Linked DNA regions of Alligator mississippiensis. The protein of the gene in region 1 interacts with the protein of each later gene in a pairwise test. Links are inferred from orthologs where the notes say so. Each region holds a gene or a part of one and is shown on either strand. Other genes may lie near its edges.

The links.
Region 2: the proteins of HOMEZ (region 1) and PIN1 interact in binary tests that used the Homo sapiens proteins (3 or more experiments, as listed by UniProt). The two-hybrid records come from large-scale screens. The link is inferred for Alligator mississippiensis from reciprocal best matches to the Homo sapiens genes HOMEZ and PIN1.

Annotation. Positions count from the first base shown.
Region 1 is NC_081830.1:7,415,796-7,423,261, forward strand, and holds the start of HOMEZ (homeobox and leucine zipper protein Homez), read right to left. Parts: upstream 3,002-7,466; 5' UTR 2,617-3,001; intron 2,175-2,616; exon of another isoform or gene 1,238-2,174; intron 1-1,237. Other genes in the region: PPP1R3E (protein phosphatase 1 regulatory subunit 3E), read right to left, coding at 4,042-4,515, 4,943-5,386. UniProt on the Homo sapiens protein: May function as a transcriptional regulator.
Region 2 is NC_081831.1:22,016,043-22,023,965, reverse strand, and holds the start of PIN1 (peptidyl-prolyl cis-trans isomerase NIMA-interacting 1), read right to left. Parts: upstream 3,011-7,923; 5' UTR 2,959-3,010; coding exon 2,901-2,958; intron 1,185-2,900; coding exon 984-1,184; intron 1-983. Other genes in the region: UBL5 (ubiquitin-like protein 5), read right to left, coding at 6,592-6,635, 7,189-7,226, 7,889-7,923. UniProt on the Homo sapiens protein: Peptidyl-prolyl cis/trans isomerase (PPIase) that binds to and isomerizes specific phosphorylated Ser/Thr-Pro (pSer/Thr-Pro) motifs.

The DNA.
Region 1 (7,466 bases):
CACTAATTAAACATTTTTTTAAAGAGAGGCCAATAAGTTGACCAGAGCCTAATTAGAGACAGCCATTACTCCGGATGCTAATTACCTGGAGAAATAAAACAAAAAGCCCTGGATTTGTTTATCTCTAATCAGAGACAACTAAAGAAATGAATGAGAAGTGATGGCTCATATGATCTGACCCCCTAACACAAAAATTGAGCTGGTAATTGAATTATTTGCCAAAAGCAGCTCCTAAAGACCCATTACCAAGCTGGTTGATTGTCCAAGAATGGCCTGTTTAATTAAAGGGGTAATGCCAGAGGAACCTGGGGGCCAGGAGGTTTGGGCACCTCCTTGCTCATGTTTGGGACATCAGACGAGCTGTTCATGCTGCGGGAACTGGCCTGTGGGAAACCTGGGCACCAGTGGTGATGAGTTGGTGGGCATAGCTTGGTCTCTTCAGCCCATCAGTGAGGGACAGACTTGATCCCGACTCAACAAGGGGAAAGCAATCAAGGTTCCTTCAAGATCCAGCCATCGTCAAGGCTTGATCTCTTCCGCTGGATCTCTTTGGCCCATCAACCAAGATCAAGGGATTGACTCGATCTTGACCCAATGTGGGGAAGTGCCAAGGTTCCTTCAAGATCTAACCAAGGCCTGATGGACGACAGCTAGATGTGGGCACTAACTGCTAGAAGATATCACCAGGTGAGGGACCCTTGGACGTTGTTCCACTGCCTCCCTGGGAGAAAACCCCAGCAACCATCACTACCACCTGGCCTTCATCCCCCAATGAAGCTATCAAACATCATTCAATTGCTGTTGGCAACACCCTAGGTTTGCCAACTTGGTTCTCCTCATGGTCATAGGTGAGGCTGACCAACTACCACCATCTGACCCTCTGCCAATCCCTACCGTTGGGCAACATCTCTCCTCACTGCTTGTTCCCTATAGCACAGCTTCCATCTGATGAATGTTGCTGCTGTCACCACTGCCATCTTGTGGCTGCCTCTGGCACTCAAGAAGCCACATTGGGATCCAACTCCTATCTTGGCAGCAATCCCCATTAAGATGGCTCCCACTTGAGCAAGGAACAGAACAGGAGGTAATAGGCATATATTGCCTTTAGAAGTCTCAGCCAGACCAACCACCCCTTGGCCTTCACCTCCCCGCCCCCTCCAAAACAAAGCTATTGAGCAACGTCTAACCACCATTGGCAGCATCCTATGGGCATCGATACAGGTATCCTCGTGCTCACCAGGCAAGTGAAGCTGGTCCATCACCACCATCCAACCCCTCTGTCTACCCCCATGGTTGGGCTCGGTGATGCCTCTGTCCCGCGACGCTCTCCGTCACTGCTCAGTTGCCATCTTGTGGCTGCTCCCCAGCACTCAAGAGGCCATCTTGGGAGCCGGCCACCATCTTGGGAATGATTCCTGCGAAGATGGCTCTCTCTTGAGCAAGGAATGGGACAGGAAATAATGGGCATGCAGTAATGGGACATGGCCTTCAGAAGGCCTGGCCACCCCAACTGTCCGTGCAGACAGGTCAGCTGGCCCCAATGAGTTTGACCCCCTGCTCTAGGCTGATACAAGTCCTCTAGCTCTCCTAGAAAGGAGGAGTGGGAGGCCTACAATACACCGAAGAACCATGTTCCCGTCTTCTTCCCGTCCCCAATACTCATTAGCTTAACTGGGAACACTGAGAAGCCGCTCAAACACAGAGGCCTTCATGAGGAGAAGACACAGAGGAATCTGGCCTCCAAGAACTGACCCCAAGACCAATTGTGATGGGGAACTCGGCTGTGCCATGCTCCAGATTGGTCAGTGGCAGGAGCATTCAAGGGTTGAAGGGTGCCAACCCAAAGAGCTGGATGGCTTAGCTCCGCCACCATGAGGGCCAAAGATCTGGTGGATCCCTTCTAAGCAAACAGAGCCATGGGATTCGATTCTGCTCTAGGCCAATTCTCTGTCTTGCCAGCGAACCCGGTGGTGGCTCCTCTTGGTGCCAGACCCACCCAAGGGAGCCATGGGGAACCACACGCTGGATGTGGGCACTGCCCCTCCTGTGGGGAAGGTGCCTGCCCTGCTGCCACCCCCAAGGGCCCAGAGTTGCAGGTGACCTGGGTTGGTCTAGCCCATTGGGTCCCCAACATCCCACTATCAACCCCCCAGCAGGGAGGGAACCCAGGCATCTGGGCTCCCAGCACCACCTTCACCCCCCCCCCCCCCCCCGCCAAAACAGGGAGAGAACCCAGGCATCCGGGCTCCCAGCAGCCCCCTCCTCTTCTCTCTTCAAACAGAAAGGGAACCCAGGCATCAGGGCTACCAGCAAACCCTGCCTTCCCCCCCAAACTAGGAGAGCACCGTTGTGTGCAGACTCTCAGCAACCACACCCCCACAAACTGGGACACAACCTGGGCTTCCAGCCCGCCCCACTCCTCCCTCCCCAACCCAAACAGAGAGGGGACCCAGGTGTCCCCCCCGCCGTGCCAGGACCAGGAGAGAACCCAGGCGTCCGGGCTCCCAGCCGCCGCCCCCCCCATCAGCCCCTCCTCCCCCGATCCAAATCAGGTGCACGCCCCCCACCCCCAGGGACCCCCAAACGCGACCCCGCCCCTGCCCCTCCCCCACTCACCGGCCCCCTCCTCCGACCCCAGTTTCCCCCCAAGTTTGGGACTTTCCGCCCGATGCAGCCTGGGAAATGGACGCGCGGGGGCGGGGCCAGCCCGGCGCTGGCCCTTTAAGGGACCCCGGACGCCTGGGTTCCAGCTGGAGCGGCTCGGATGCGTGGGTTCCTCCCTGCAGCCTCTAGGGGCGCGGGGGGGCCCGGGACGCCCGGGGTCTCTTCCAGCCGGGGAGGGGGCTGGGACGCCTGGGTCCTCTCCCAGCTCCGACACACAAAGGGGGGGAGAGGGCGGCGGCCATTGGCTGGGCCAGAGCTCGAGCCACCCCGGATGTCCCCGCGAGGGGGAGGGGAGGCGGCCCGGACGCCTAGGTTCCCGTGGGGGGAGCGGGGTCTAGGAGGTGAAAGGGCGGGGGGAGGAGCTAGGAACCCGGGCGCCAGGGTTCCCTTCATCCCTCCCCCTTTTGTTTCTGCAGCTGTGCCCTGGCTTCCTGGTGGGGGGAGCTGCAGGTCGGGAGTGAGGGGCACCAGCAGGGCTAGGGGGGAACAGCCTCCAGGCCTCCATTTCTCTTTGCCCCTTGCTCGATTCGCCTCCTAACCCCCCCCCCCCCCGCACCCAGACCTCTGGGGTCATGTGGGAAAACAGAGGCAGCGCAATAGTTATGACTGGAGATGGGGCTGGGGTCCATCACGTGTCACCCGTGGTAGCTCTGCACCCTTGCCCCTCCGGCTGTGGCTGGGAGCTCGATGCCTGGGTTCTCTCCTCCCCCCCACAGGGGTCCCAGAGACACCCCGGGCAGCCCCGCGCTGTGGGTAGACAGATGAACACTAGGGACACACCAGCTTGGCCAGTCTAGACTTCATTGTCTTTATTGTCAGGCAGTGCGGCCTCCATGGCAGTGGTGCACCCATGCCCAGCATCCTCCATGCAGGGGTGCCTCTGGTCTGGTGGGAGGAGCCCCTGGTGGCTATGCCCCCCAGGTGTAGCTAGCCCCGCCCTCAGGGGCAGATGGGGAGTCCTGCCCCCCATCAGGCCATAGCTGCGGGGGGGAGGAGGGGGTGCCTCTGGGCAGAGTGTATTTCAGGGCACTTTCTTGTGGTGCAGCTGGGGGGCCTGGCTGGGGATGGGGGGCCTGGCTGGGACCTGAGATCCTAGGACCAAGGCCAGTGTTCCTGGCTGGCGGAGTGGGGTGTAGTGGAGGGGTCACGGGCCTCGTGGGATCATGGGGAGGGGGACCCACCTGGGGTGTGCTGGGATGCCCTGGCTGGGATGTGCAGGGCTGTGGCTGGAGGCTGGGGCCAGGGTCCCATCTGGGGCCGTGAGCCTGCAGGAGAGGCGGGGTGTGGAGGGTGCAGGTTAAGAGTCGCGGGGCCAAGACCAGTGGTCTGGGTGAGGGCCATGAGCTGGGTGGAGGTCCCGGAGGGACCGGGGCGGTGTTAGGCAAAGCGGCTCCAGTCAGGAAGGGGCAGGGGACTAGGGGGCAGCTCACGGGGGGAGCCAGCAAGTGGCACGGTAGGGCGCAGGGCATAGTTGTGGCCTTCATTGTTGTCCCAGAACTCGGCGCCAGCAGTACGGTAGCGCAGGGCAAACTCCAGGGTGGCACCAGGCGGTGGCAGGGGCAGGCGGAAGGCAAAGCGGTCAGCACCAGGTGCGGCGGGTGGGCAGGCACCAGGGGGGGGTGGCGCAGGGCCGGCGTAGGCGGCTGGGGCCTCGCGCTTGCTGGCCCAGCCATCCCATGTGTAGCGCACGCTCACCCGCTTTTCATAGGCCAGGTCCAGCACGCGTAGTGTCCCCGCCACGCCCACCCCCTCTGCCCGTGCCCCTTCCAGTGCCACCGCCTGCGCTGCCAGCCGTGCCCCCACCTCTGCCTCTGCTGCTGCCCATGCCCACGGCGCTGCCCCACTGCTTGCCTGCCGGGGAGAGAGACAGTGGTCAGCAGCGAATGGGTGGGCACACTGCCCCCATCGCCTGTAGCCACACACTTCACCCCCAATGGCCCTGCCCCCAGCCTGTAGGCCCACCCCACAGTTGCCTCATAGCCCCATCCCCAGCACCCTTATAGCCCTTCCCCCAGCCTGTAGGTCCGCTCCAGCAGCATCCCATAGCCCACCCCCCAGCCTGTAGCCACAGGCCCCCCATAGCCCTGTCCTAACACACTCACAGCTCCATCCCCAGCCTGTAGCCCCACACCTGGCATCCCATAGCCCCCCTGCTCCTGGCCCCCACAGCCTGTAGCCTCACCCCCAGCCCCCTGCCATTCCCCCCACCTCTCCAGTCTGTAGCCCCACCCCCTAGCAATCCCATAGCTCCACCCCAGCCTGTTGCCCCACCCCTCACCTTGATGTAGGGCAGGCAGGGTGGGAAGTGGCTGAGGGAGTCCCGCCGTAGCTGGGCCTGGACGCGCTCGGGCACCTCGGGCAGCTGGGCTGGCCAGAACTGCCGCACACTGGCCAGCTCCAGCCCCAGTGCGTCGGCAAATCGTACCCGCTTGCGCGCCCCGGGGCTGCGTGCCCGCCCCGAGCCCCCCCCAGCCCCCGCCCCTGGCCCGGGTGGGGCAGAGTGAGCCCGACGGCTCTGGCGGGTGCGGGTCCGGCGGGTACGGAGCCGGGGGGCACGGGGCCGGGTGGAGCGGCGCGAGCGTCCCTCGGGCTCCGAGTCCTCCGAGTCGTCAGCCAGGCTGGGCCGGGCGGTGCGGTAGTAGGCGCGCTCGTACAGCCCCGCGATGTAGCTCAGGTTGCGCGGGATGTCACCCCGTGGCGGTGGCGGGGGGGTGCCCGCCATGGCCCCCTCTGTCGCTTGCTGGGCACCCTCCCTCCTTCCTGCGCTCACTCTGCTGGGTGTTGTGTCCTTCTACTCCTCTGTCACAGGTCTGCCACCTTCCCTCCTTCCAAGTCTTGCTTTGCCAGGCTGTGCCCCTCTATCCCTCCGTCACCGTCTTCCCCGTTCAATTCTTCCGAACCTGTCACTCCACCAGGCTCTGTGTGCTCCCGTTCATCCGTCTCTGGCCTGCCACGTTCCCTCCCAAACCTCTCACTCCATCAGGCTCTGTGCGCTCCTATTCATCTGTCACAGCCTGCCACATTCCCTCCTTCCAAACCTTCTTGCCCCAGGCCCCGCCTCCTTCTGTTCCTCCGTCCCTGGCCAGACACACTCTCTTCTTCCGAAGGTCTTGCTTCAGCAGGCTCCGTGTCCTATCCTTCCATCACCAGCCTGGCATGTTCCCTCCTTCCCAGCCCTTCACTCCACCTGGGCTCCGTGTCCTCCCACGCTCGCTCTTTCCAGCCAGCCCAGCTTTAGCCCTCCATCAGAGCTCTGTCCTGTGGTCTCTCTCTCCACCACGCTGCCTCCCGCACTCCCTTCTTCAAGTTCTCTCTGTACCTGGGGCCTGTCTTGTTCTTTCTTTCCAGCTTCACAAAAGCTGTTTCTCCGTCATGCAATCTTCCACCTTCCGGCGTGCCTGGGTCTACCTCTCTGGCTGGGTCTGTCTTGTCTCTCTCCGTCAGGCAGGTGTCCACATTTCCTTCCCCTGAGCCACCCGTTACTCTCCCTATTGCTCCATTACATGGTCTTCCACATTCCCTGCTTTCCCAGAGCCCAGTGCTGTCCCTTCAGCAAGGCTCTGCCTCATATCTCTCCATCAGATGGTCTTTCACCTTTCCTTCCAACGGGCTTGGCTCTGTTCCTCTGTCTGGGCCTGTCTTTTTGTCACACCGTCTTCCTCCTGGTCTCTGTCCGTCTGAGCGCTGCCTGGTTCTGTCTCTGTCCCTCCGCCCTCTGTCTTCTCCTCTGCCAGGGCTCCCGTCTCCTGTCTCTCCCTCTGTGTGATGTATTGCTCCGCCTGGCCCTGAATCTCGATCTCCCTTTCCACCAACAGGCTTTCTCCTTCCCTTTCTCTTCTGCCTCTTCTGACCCATCTGTGCCAGCTCCTCCCTCCCTCCTTTATTCTCTTTCTCCTCCTGCCTTTCTTTCAACATCCCTCCATCCCAGCAGCCTGCAAGTCTACTTGGGGATCACCTCTCCACCCTAGGCCCTGATCAGCCAGCCCTGTGGAGGAATGGGGAGGGAGCAGAGGGCAGCAGGGAGCTTCCCCAGAGCATGAAGGGTTAAGGCAGAAGGGACCCAGGCATCCAGGCAAGCCTGGAACAGCAAGTCCCTGCCAGGCAAAAGGCCAGCAACCAGGATCAATAATAAAGGAGGTGAAATAGCTAATGGAAGCCCAGAACTAGCTTGGGACTGCCCTGCCCCCCCGCCAACAAACCTGGGCTGCAGGTCAGGAGTGCGGGGTACCAGGGTGGTGCAGTGGGCTGCAGGTTGGGAGTGAGGGGCACCCATAGGCTGCCATTCAGGAGTGAAGGGCAACAGCAGGGCTGTCGGCTAGGAGTGAGGGGCACCATGTAGACACAGTGCCCATATTGTTGTGGGCCAGCCGGGTTAAGAGGCTAACGAGCTTCTGGAGTCATTAATCATGCAAAGAAGATGCTGGTGCATGAATAATGAATGAGATGCCCAGGCTGCAGCCTTCTCCGGCTACCGCACCCTCCCAGTTGGGGGTAGGGCAGTGCCTGCTCACGCCAAGGGCAGTCATGTTGGTCCCCTGGCCATGCCCACAGCAACCACATTGCCTCCATGCAGTGGTGAGGGAGCAGGGCCCTACCCCTCAGGCTGTCTTGCCAATGCTGTTGCCAATGGGCGGCCATGTTGGGTTGATGTCAATGGGTTGGCATCCTGTCAGCAGGGTGAGCCTCTTGGCCTACCCTATCCATTGCTTTGGGGTCAACGGGGCAAGCGGGATGGCAGCCATGTTGCTGAGGGAGGATGCAGGGCTCCAAGGCGTGGGAGCCCCGACATCCCCACAGCCCCC
Region 2 (7,923 bases), on another chromosome or scaffold:
ATATCCTTTATTAGACCAACCCAAATGGTTGGAGAATAGTTATTAAGCAAGCTTTCGGGTTCAAAAACCTGACGAAGGGTTTTTGAACCCGAAAGCTTGCTTAATAACTATTCTCCAACCATTTGGGTTGGTCTAATAAAAGATATCAAATTCACCCAAGGAACCTTGTCTGCCTACAACTTCAAAGCACTTCACAGAATATTAACTCATTTTCATAACAAGTCAAGACTGACTGCTATAGATTGGAACACAGGCCATGGTGCAAAGTCAGGAGACTTTCACCACAGATCCTCTGACCCTTGCACCGAACTCAATGAAGAGTGCCAACAGTAAACCAGAATTAGAATTCTGCCCCACAAGGCCCAAATTCACTGATTAGGAAACAGGATAGTTAGAAACTATTGCTGGCGCTGCAAAGGAAGATGTATCTTGTGATGGGTCCCATATACAGCAGGAAAGGCATGCAATTCCCTCACTCCCAAGAAATTTACTTGTCCACAGATATTCAAGATGTTTATACCTGGGGTTCAGTCCCAGGCAGAGATTCATCAAAATTTACAGTAACTGCCACCAGGACAAACAGGCAAATAAATATTAAACAAAAAAAGGAAGATGTTTAAGGAGCACTTGTTTTAGCATCAAATAATTGCTTTATTTTTTAATATAAAAATATACATTTACAAAGAAAATACAAACAAGCCTCTGACAACATTACAAAAACATAAAGGGGGAAACTGGCATGAGGATGGAAGGGGGAGGGAGGGTTCTATTCCTAAGTCATTTAGTCATGATCAGCAAATCATGCAGCAAAAGTGTTTCTCCAAGTGGCTGTGCTACACGAAAGTCCATGTTCAAACCACTTGCCTCAAAAAACTTTTATTTAGAGAGTTCAGGCCAATAAGCCACTTATTTCTGTGCTCATTTTTGGCCTTAACATGACTTTCCCTCACAATAACATCAATCTGCCTCCTGCTTTTACTTGCCATTTATAAGCTCCAGTGCCTCATCTTTGGTCCGTGTGATCTTTTCCTGCCTCCATGATGAGGGCCTTCTGGACTGGTTGTGTTTCACCAAAAGATGTGAGCAGCGCACTTTGGCCGGCTCCCCCTGGCCATTTTTCCCACCTCCGCTGGGGCGCTCCCATTGGCTGGCATTCGTAATGTGGTTGAAGTAATACACACGGCCTAGAAACAAGAAGGAAAAGAAAACCAGGTCTTTAGAAGATCCACAGCAATAGCCTCTTGCTTATCGCAGCAGATAAATTCTGGATTTCTGCAGGTGGGTGAAAATGTGGATGTCAGCTCACTGCAGAATCAGTGCAGAGGCTGGGAATACTTAACATCCCCATAATAACAGGCTGTCTCAGCATTACAGATTTCAGTCTATTAGAACTCTCTACCAAGGTTTTCTAGTGAGAAACAAAGATGCCCTGAGCAAAGCAGCTGCTCTACTCAAAACCAGACTCTTGACACCATCTCCCTTTCCAAAGTTGGGCAAGTCACTTTTACTTCAGTGAAAGTGGGATCAGGGTCTATGTCAAAAACTCTTGAAACCTTCCCAAAACAGCAGCAGCTTAAGTGCTGGCTGGCTCATTTGTAAAGCACCGATTATTCTTATGGAAGCAGCAAGTGCCTGCAGCTTTCCTGAGTCACATGACACCAACACATCTTCAGAAGCAGCACAGCGACATAGTGGAACTCTGCCCATTTTACCCCTGCAGCGAAGGTGAACGGTGCCGAGTTTCTGACACAGGGGGATTGTGTTTCATTCCAATCCAGCTTGCAACTGAGAGCACAAAGCATGGCAAAAATCCCTATCTATTTAGACCGGGTTTTTGGTTGTAGCTGTGTTGGTCTAAGGTCATAGACAGGCAAGGTTTTTTGAGTAAATGTGGTATCTTTCATTAGACCCATTGAGTACTCAGTTGGTCTAATAAAAAACATCACATCTACTCAAAGAACCTTGCCTGCCTATGTATTTAGATACATTTAGGGGGTAACAGTATCCTAATAAACAGATCCTTCAGTTAACAGGGCACAGTTTTCAAAGCAGCAATCACCTCTAACTATGCTGGGTGTTACACAAACAAGGGACCCCTGACCCTGAACTGACCTTTGCAGGCTGGAAGTGAGGAAGACACTCCTCCAAAACAAATCAGCCCTTTCTTTATCAGGAAAGGGCAGGCTTTCCCAGAAGCAGCCAAGAGTTTGGGGACACTGCTCTGAGATCAAGACAGCTAAAGCAATGTCCCAGCACTGCTGGAGCACCAACTGTAAAGGGTCCCCAACCCGCAGGATGAGGTCCACTCATTCATGCACTGGCAGGAGCTCAGACTCTGACTAAACAAATTGTGAGCACCTCCGACATCCTAAGAGGTGCCAGCCCGGGTCCAGAGCTCTGGGGCACTGCAATCACTGGACGAAAACCCCGACAACGGCCGGGTCTCTGTACACCGGGAGGGGGGGCAGGAGCAAAAGGCAATTCTAGTCTCACGACAAAGGGGACAAACCTCTGCTTGGCCGGGGAGGGGCCTAGACCCGCCTGGGCTCCCGAGGGAGCTCCGGGATCAGCGCGCGTTTTCCAGAGCCGCCCCCCCGCCCCCACGACGCATATCCCTCCCCAGAACCTCTCCCCCTGCCGGCGCGGGGCAGCTCCCCGGCCCCTCCCCCCGCACGAGGCGAGGAAAGGAGCGAGGCACCGCGGGGTCGGGCCCTGCCGGGGCCACAAAGGACCCACCAAGCCCCATCAAGAGCAGAGCGGCGCGGCCCGGCCCCACAGCCCGGCCCCGCCCTCCCAAGCCCCGCAGGGGCCCGGCCCAGCCCGCCCCGGCCTCGCGGCCCCCCAGCCGCAGCGCCCGGCCCCGGCCCCGCGCGGCCGAACGCCCGACCGCGCCGCTGTACCTGAGCTGCGGCTCATGCGCTTCTCCCAGCCCGCAGGCAGCTTCTCCTCCTCCGCCATCTTCCCTGCGCGCGGCACCTCCTCCCAGCCTCTTCCCCGCTGCCGCACGCGCTGCCACCCATTGGCTAGAGGAAGGCCCCGGGGCAGGATGCTGCGAACGGCCATTGGCTCAGAGGGGATCGTGGTCCCACCTCCAGGTCGCTCATTGGTGGAGAACACACTCCCCTTCCCTCCCAGCCCTGATTGACTCGGAGCGCTAGGCCGCAATAATCTCGGAAGAGATTCAGGTTCTGGTAGCTCGAATGTCGACGGCGGCCGGGGAGGGACAAGGGGCGTTGCGGAACGCCTGAGGAGTGCCGGGGAGCCCTCGGGGCCTCAGTGCAGGCGGTGCCAGGTGCCCCGGTTCCCAGCCGGGGTCGGGGGTGCCTTAACCGCGGGAGCGCGCAGGGGCGCCCCCAGGAGGCTAATTGACCGTCCTTGCAAAATGCAAATGACCCAGAGCCACGGAGCAGGCGCTGGTGCTGTGCAGGCCGGGTGCCTCTCGCGGCCTGGGCTCTGGATACGGCCTGGACCCCATCGCCAAGCCGCCCAGGTTGGGCCGCGGCGAGACGCAGGCGAAGGCAGGGGAGATTTGCAGCAGTCAGAAGCAAGAGCAGGCTGCAGCAGGTGCTGCAAGGGGCCAGCCAGGCCTACGGGAGCAAAACGGGCTGTCCCGATGACTACCACTTACTAGCTCCTGCTGTTACTTAAACTAAGGTTCAAGTATGAAGGACCCTCTCCAGCCTGTCCTTCACTGTCTCTAGGAGAGCCGTGCAGGTCGGAAGGCCAGGGAGGTTTGCATCTTCCCCAGACTAAATGCACAGATGCAATCATAGGTGCACAAGCTTTGCTCAGCAAGAGATGAAGTTTATGGATTTTTGATTTAATCTATGAGGTGTAAAGTGCAAATGTACATGCCTTCTGATTCATTGTATTGATCAGGCTGGAGCCAACTGGCTGCTCCCTGTGGTGGGGGGAGCTGCAGAAATTTGCATTTTGATAGTTTCCCCTCTGAGTCGCTAGTAGCTCTGCACCTGCTGCCTTCCTAGTGACATGCACCTTTTCTAGCTAGATTCATAGATGTTAGTCGGAAGGGACTTCAATAGATCATCAAGTCTGACCTCCTGCATAAGCAGGAAAGAGTGCTGGGTCTAGATGACCCCAGCTAGATACTCATCTAACCTCCTCTTGAAGACCCCCAGGGTAGAGGAGAGCACCACCTCCCTTGGGAGCCCGTTCCAGACCTTGGCCACTCGAACTGTGAAGAAGTTCTTCCTAATGTCTAGTCTAAATCTGCTCTCTGCTAGCTTGTGGCCATTGTTTCTTGTAACCCCCGGGGGCGCCTTGGTGAATAAATCCTCACCTATTCCCTTCTGTGCCCCCGTGATGAACTTATAGGCAGCCACAAGGTCGCCTCTCAACCTTCTCTTGCGGAGGCTGAAAAGGTCCAGTTTCTCTAGTCTCTCCTCGTAGGACTTGGTCTGCAGGCCCTTGACCATACGAGTTGCCCTTCTCTGGACCCTCTCCAGGTTATCCACATCCTTCTTGAAGTGTGGCACCCAGAATTGCACGCAGTACTCCAACTGCAGTCTGACCAATGCCCGATAGAGGGGAAGTATCACCTCCCTGGACCTATTTGTCATGCATCTGCTGATGCACGATAAAGTGCCATTGGCTTTTCTGATGGCTTCGTCACACTGCCGGCTCATGTTCATCTTGGAGTCCACTAGGACTCCAAGATCCCTTTCCACCTCTGTGCCACCCAGCAGGTCATTCCCTAGGCTGTAGGTGTGCTGGACATTTTTCCTCCCTAGGTGCAGCACTTTGCATTTCTCCTTGTTGAACTGCATCCTGTTGTTTTCTGCCCACTTGTGCAACCTATCCAGGTCTGCCTGCAGCTGTTCCCTGCCCTCCGGTGTGTCCACTTCTCCCCATAGCTTTGTGTCATCTGCAAACTTGGACAGAGTACATTTCACTCCCTCGTCCAAGTCGCTGATGAAGACATTAAAGAGTATCGGTCCAAGGACCAAACCCTGCGGGACCCCACTGCCCACACCCTTCCAGGTCGAGACCGACCCATCCACCACGACTCTTTGGGTGCGACCCTCTAGCCAATTCGCCACCCACCAGACTGTGCAGTCATCCACATCACAGCCTCTTAACTTGTTCACCAGTATGGGGTGGGATACCGTATCGAAGCTATGACATTCCTTTTGGCAATTTTTCATAAGATACAAAAGTAAAAGCAGGTGTCCTGCCTCAATTCCAGTCCAGGCAGTTCCTAATTTCCCCCTGCAGTTTTAGGTACAAAATTCTCTGCTTCCTGTTCTAAGCCGTGATCCAATTGAACAAATGCTGCATGTCCACAGGAGGCTGCACTCATGTTGATCTCAGAAGAATACCTGAACTTCCTGCTTAACCCATCTCCAAAGTTAGGGTTGAGGAATATCATGATTAGGAAAGCTTGCCTCACTGGGCCTTCTGGTTAAAAGGACTCTGAAACAGTCCAAGACTCACTACTTTCACCAACAGGAAAATAAATTACTTAAAAGGCACCATAAACATCCATATTTGTCAGTGGAAAGCTTTAAATAAGAAAGAGAACAGCTGTTGTGAAGAGAGAGTCTCATTTAACATCCCTGCCTCTGTGCTTAGGCTGACTCAGAAATGCACAGAGAGGCTGCTTTCTCTCATTGGCCATTTAATTCTGGAAAACATCAAGACAAAATCATCTCCTGCTGCTGCCCTGAACTTCAATCTCAGCTGATTAAACATGCTTATTAACTGCAGGCAGCTGCTCTACTGCACGTGACACACATTACTGAGCAGCACAGAAATAAGCTCAGTAAAATGAAAGAGTGGGTTTGGGGGTCTGCACACACATTGAAATACTCCTTTTAAAGTGTTTTGTAATGGATTCCTCTCATTCATCCCAGTCTCACTCCCAATCTTGTTGCTTTGGCTGGGATCCCAAGGCAATTCACATCGATTGTGTTAAATGAGCAGTGCAGAGTGGGATTTTTTTTTGAAGTATCATTGAAAAACAATAGTGCGTAACACACAATGGTCAGCAGCTCCATTAGAGGCATGTAATGGGAACTGCTTTTTGCATTTGTCAGTCTAGATCATACCTTAACCACTGCACTGAAGTTTCTGTTGAGAATAAATTACCACTCCCCTCCCCTCCCCCAAAAAAACAAACAAAAACCCAGACTGCTTCTAAGTTGAATTAAATGCATTTGCTCTGGGTTTTCAATTCTCAACCAAAAATGAGTCTAGCCTAGGAGATGGCGATAGAGCAGCTTTCATGTTATTTCAGAAAGCTCAAGGCTGTCTTCTACTAGCTATGTTAATTAGGTTTGCTGTGGAAGTTACCAAGAAAGAGATTTTGTCTGCCTTAAAGCCATGAACAGGACACTGCAACTGTCAGGAAACATTTATTACAAACACAAATTTAAGAACATAAGCAATTTTGTTATATGTTTGCTGCCTGTGTTATTGCCAAAGCCAAATAGCTCTGACTAAACTATATGCACAGCTGGAGCTTTTCACTTGCACTTTACACTAAATAAGGAAATATATAGACATGTTTAATATTAGAAGGAAAGCAGAAAGTGTGCTGCCTGCCATATACAATTGCAGCTCAAGTCCAAACTACTGATAGTATAGCTCCAGGTTCATGCCATCATGGATTTCATCTGAAGAGTAAAAGTTAAGGGAATTCCCATGGAAATATATTTAAATACAAACAGAGGGTGTTAGATATGAACATCTGTCAGACCAACGATTCAAAAATCAACAACAGCAGGAAACTTCTTAGATAAGTGCACAAGTTCTCAGCAACATGATTCTTCTTATTCCATGTCACAACCTGGATAAACTGCTGGCCTCACAAAAAAGAGTCTGAGACTCATGTGCTGCTTGTAAGTGCTAATGTCTGAAGCAACAAACTGGGAAGTTAATCCAAAGGGTTTTTTGTGTTTGTACCAAGAGATTTCCTAAATAATCACCACTGTGCTACATGACTGACCCGTTACCATTAATCAGTGGCCAAGAACATAAACAAGACATCTCATTAGTGACAAGCAGCAATATCAGATAAGGAAGGGGTGCTGTCTGACTGTGTACATGCAATGTGTCTCTCTCTCAAGTACTTAGAGAGTGACACCTGTTTTCTAAAAGGTTTGCTTTAAAAGATGCTGATGTCTTTAAAATGCATTTTACCTAGACCACTCTGATGCTTAAGGATACAGTCTCCCAGTGAAACGTGATCCTTGAAAATGGTGTACCTGCAAGAGTTTGAAAGGAAGTTAAAACACCTAAGCTCGTTACAAGGTTCAATAAAAGGAAATGGAGCCAATAAAGGGACTACTGTTGTATTATCAATATTTCCCAATAGTAATTATTTAATAAAAAAAAAAGTGAGCAGTTGAGATATGAAGGCCAGAGTTTCATAAGCAAAATGTTTTCATAGCCAGCAATCATCAAACCCAAAAAGCATGGAAGGGAAGAGACACCCTAGGTGCTGTTACAAGACAAGAAGCCTTCATTTCACCTACAGGATAAATACAAAGAGCTCTAGTTCAGGGTATAGAAAGACTTCAATCCAATGTTTGCTAAAGGTTTTAACTGTATTTCAACTCCTGCTAACCCATCGTTTTTGTTTCAACTTCTAATAAAAAATCTCCCTCACAGCAACCCCCTCTTCCCCCAACATGTCACAGCCCACGGCCTTGATGGACACGCGCTTCTGGGGGAGCAGCTGCAGTCAGCACCACAAGGAAATGGTTACAGTTAAAGACTGGATCAAACCCGGGGCCCATCAAAAAACACCCAGGACTTGGGCAACCTCCCTGGGTAGGACAAAAGGAGGAACTTACCTGCTGGGGCCAAAGCTGGCAGCCGCCAGGAGCCCTTGGGCTGCCCAAACCTGACCCAGTCCCACACTCACCATTTCTTCAGCACGATCTTGTCCCAGCGGGTCCC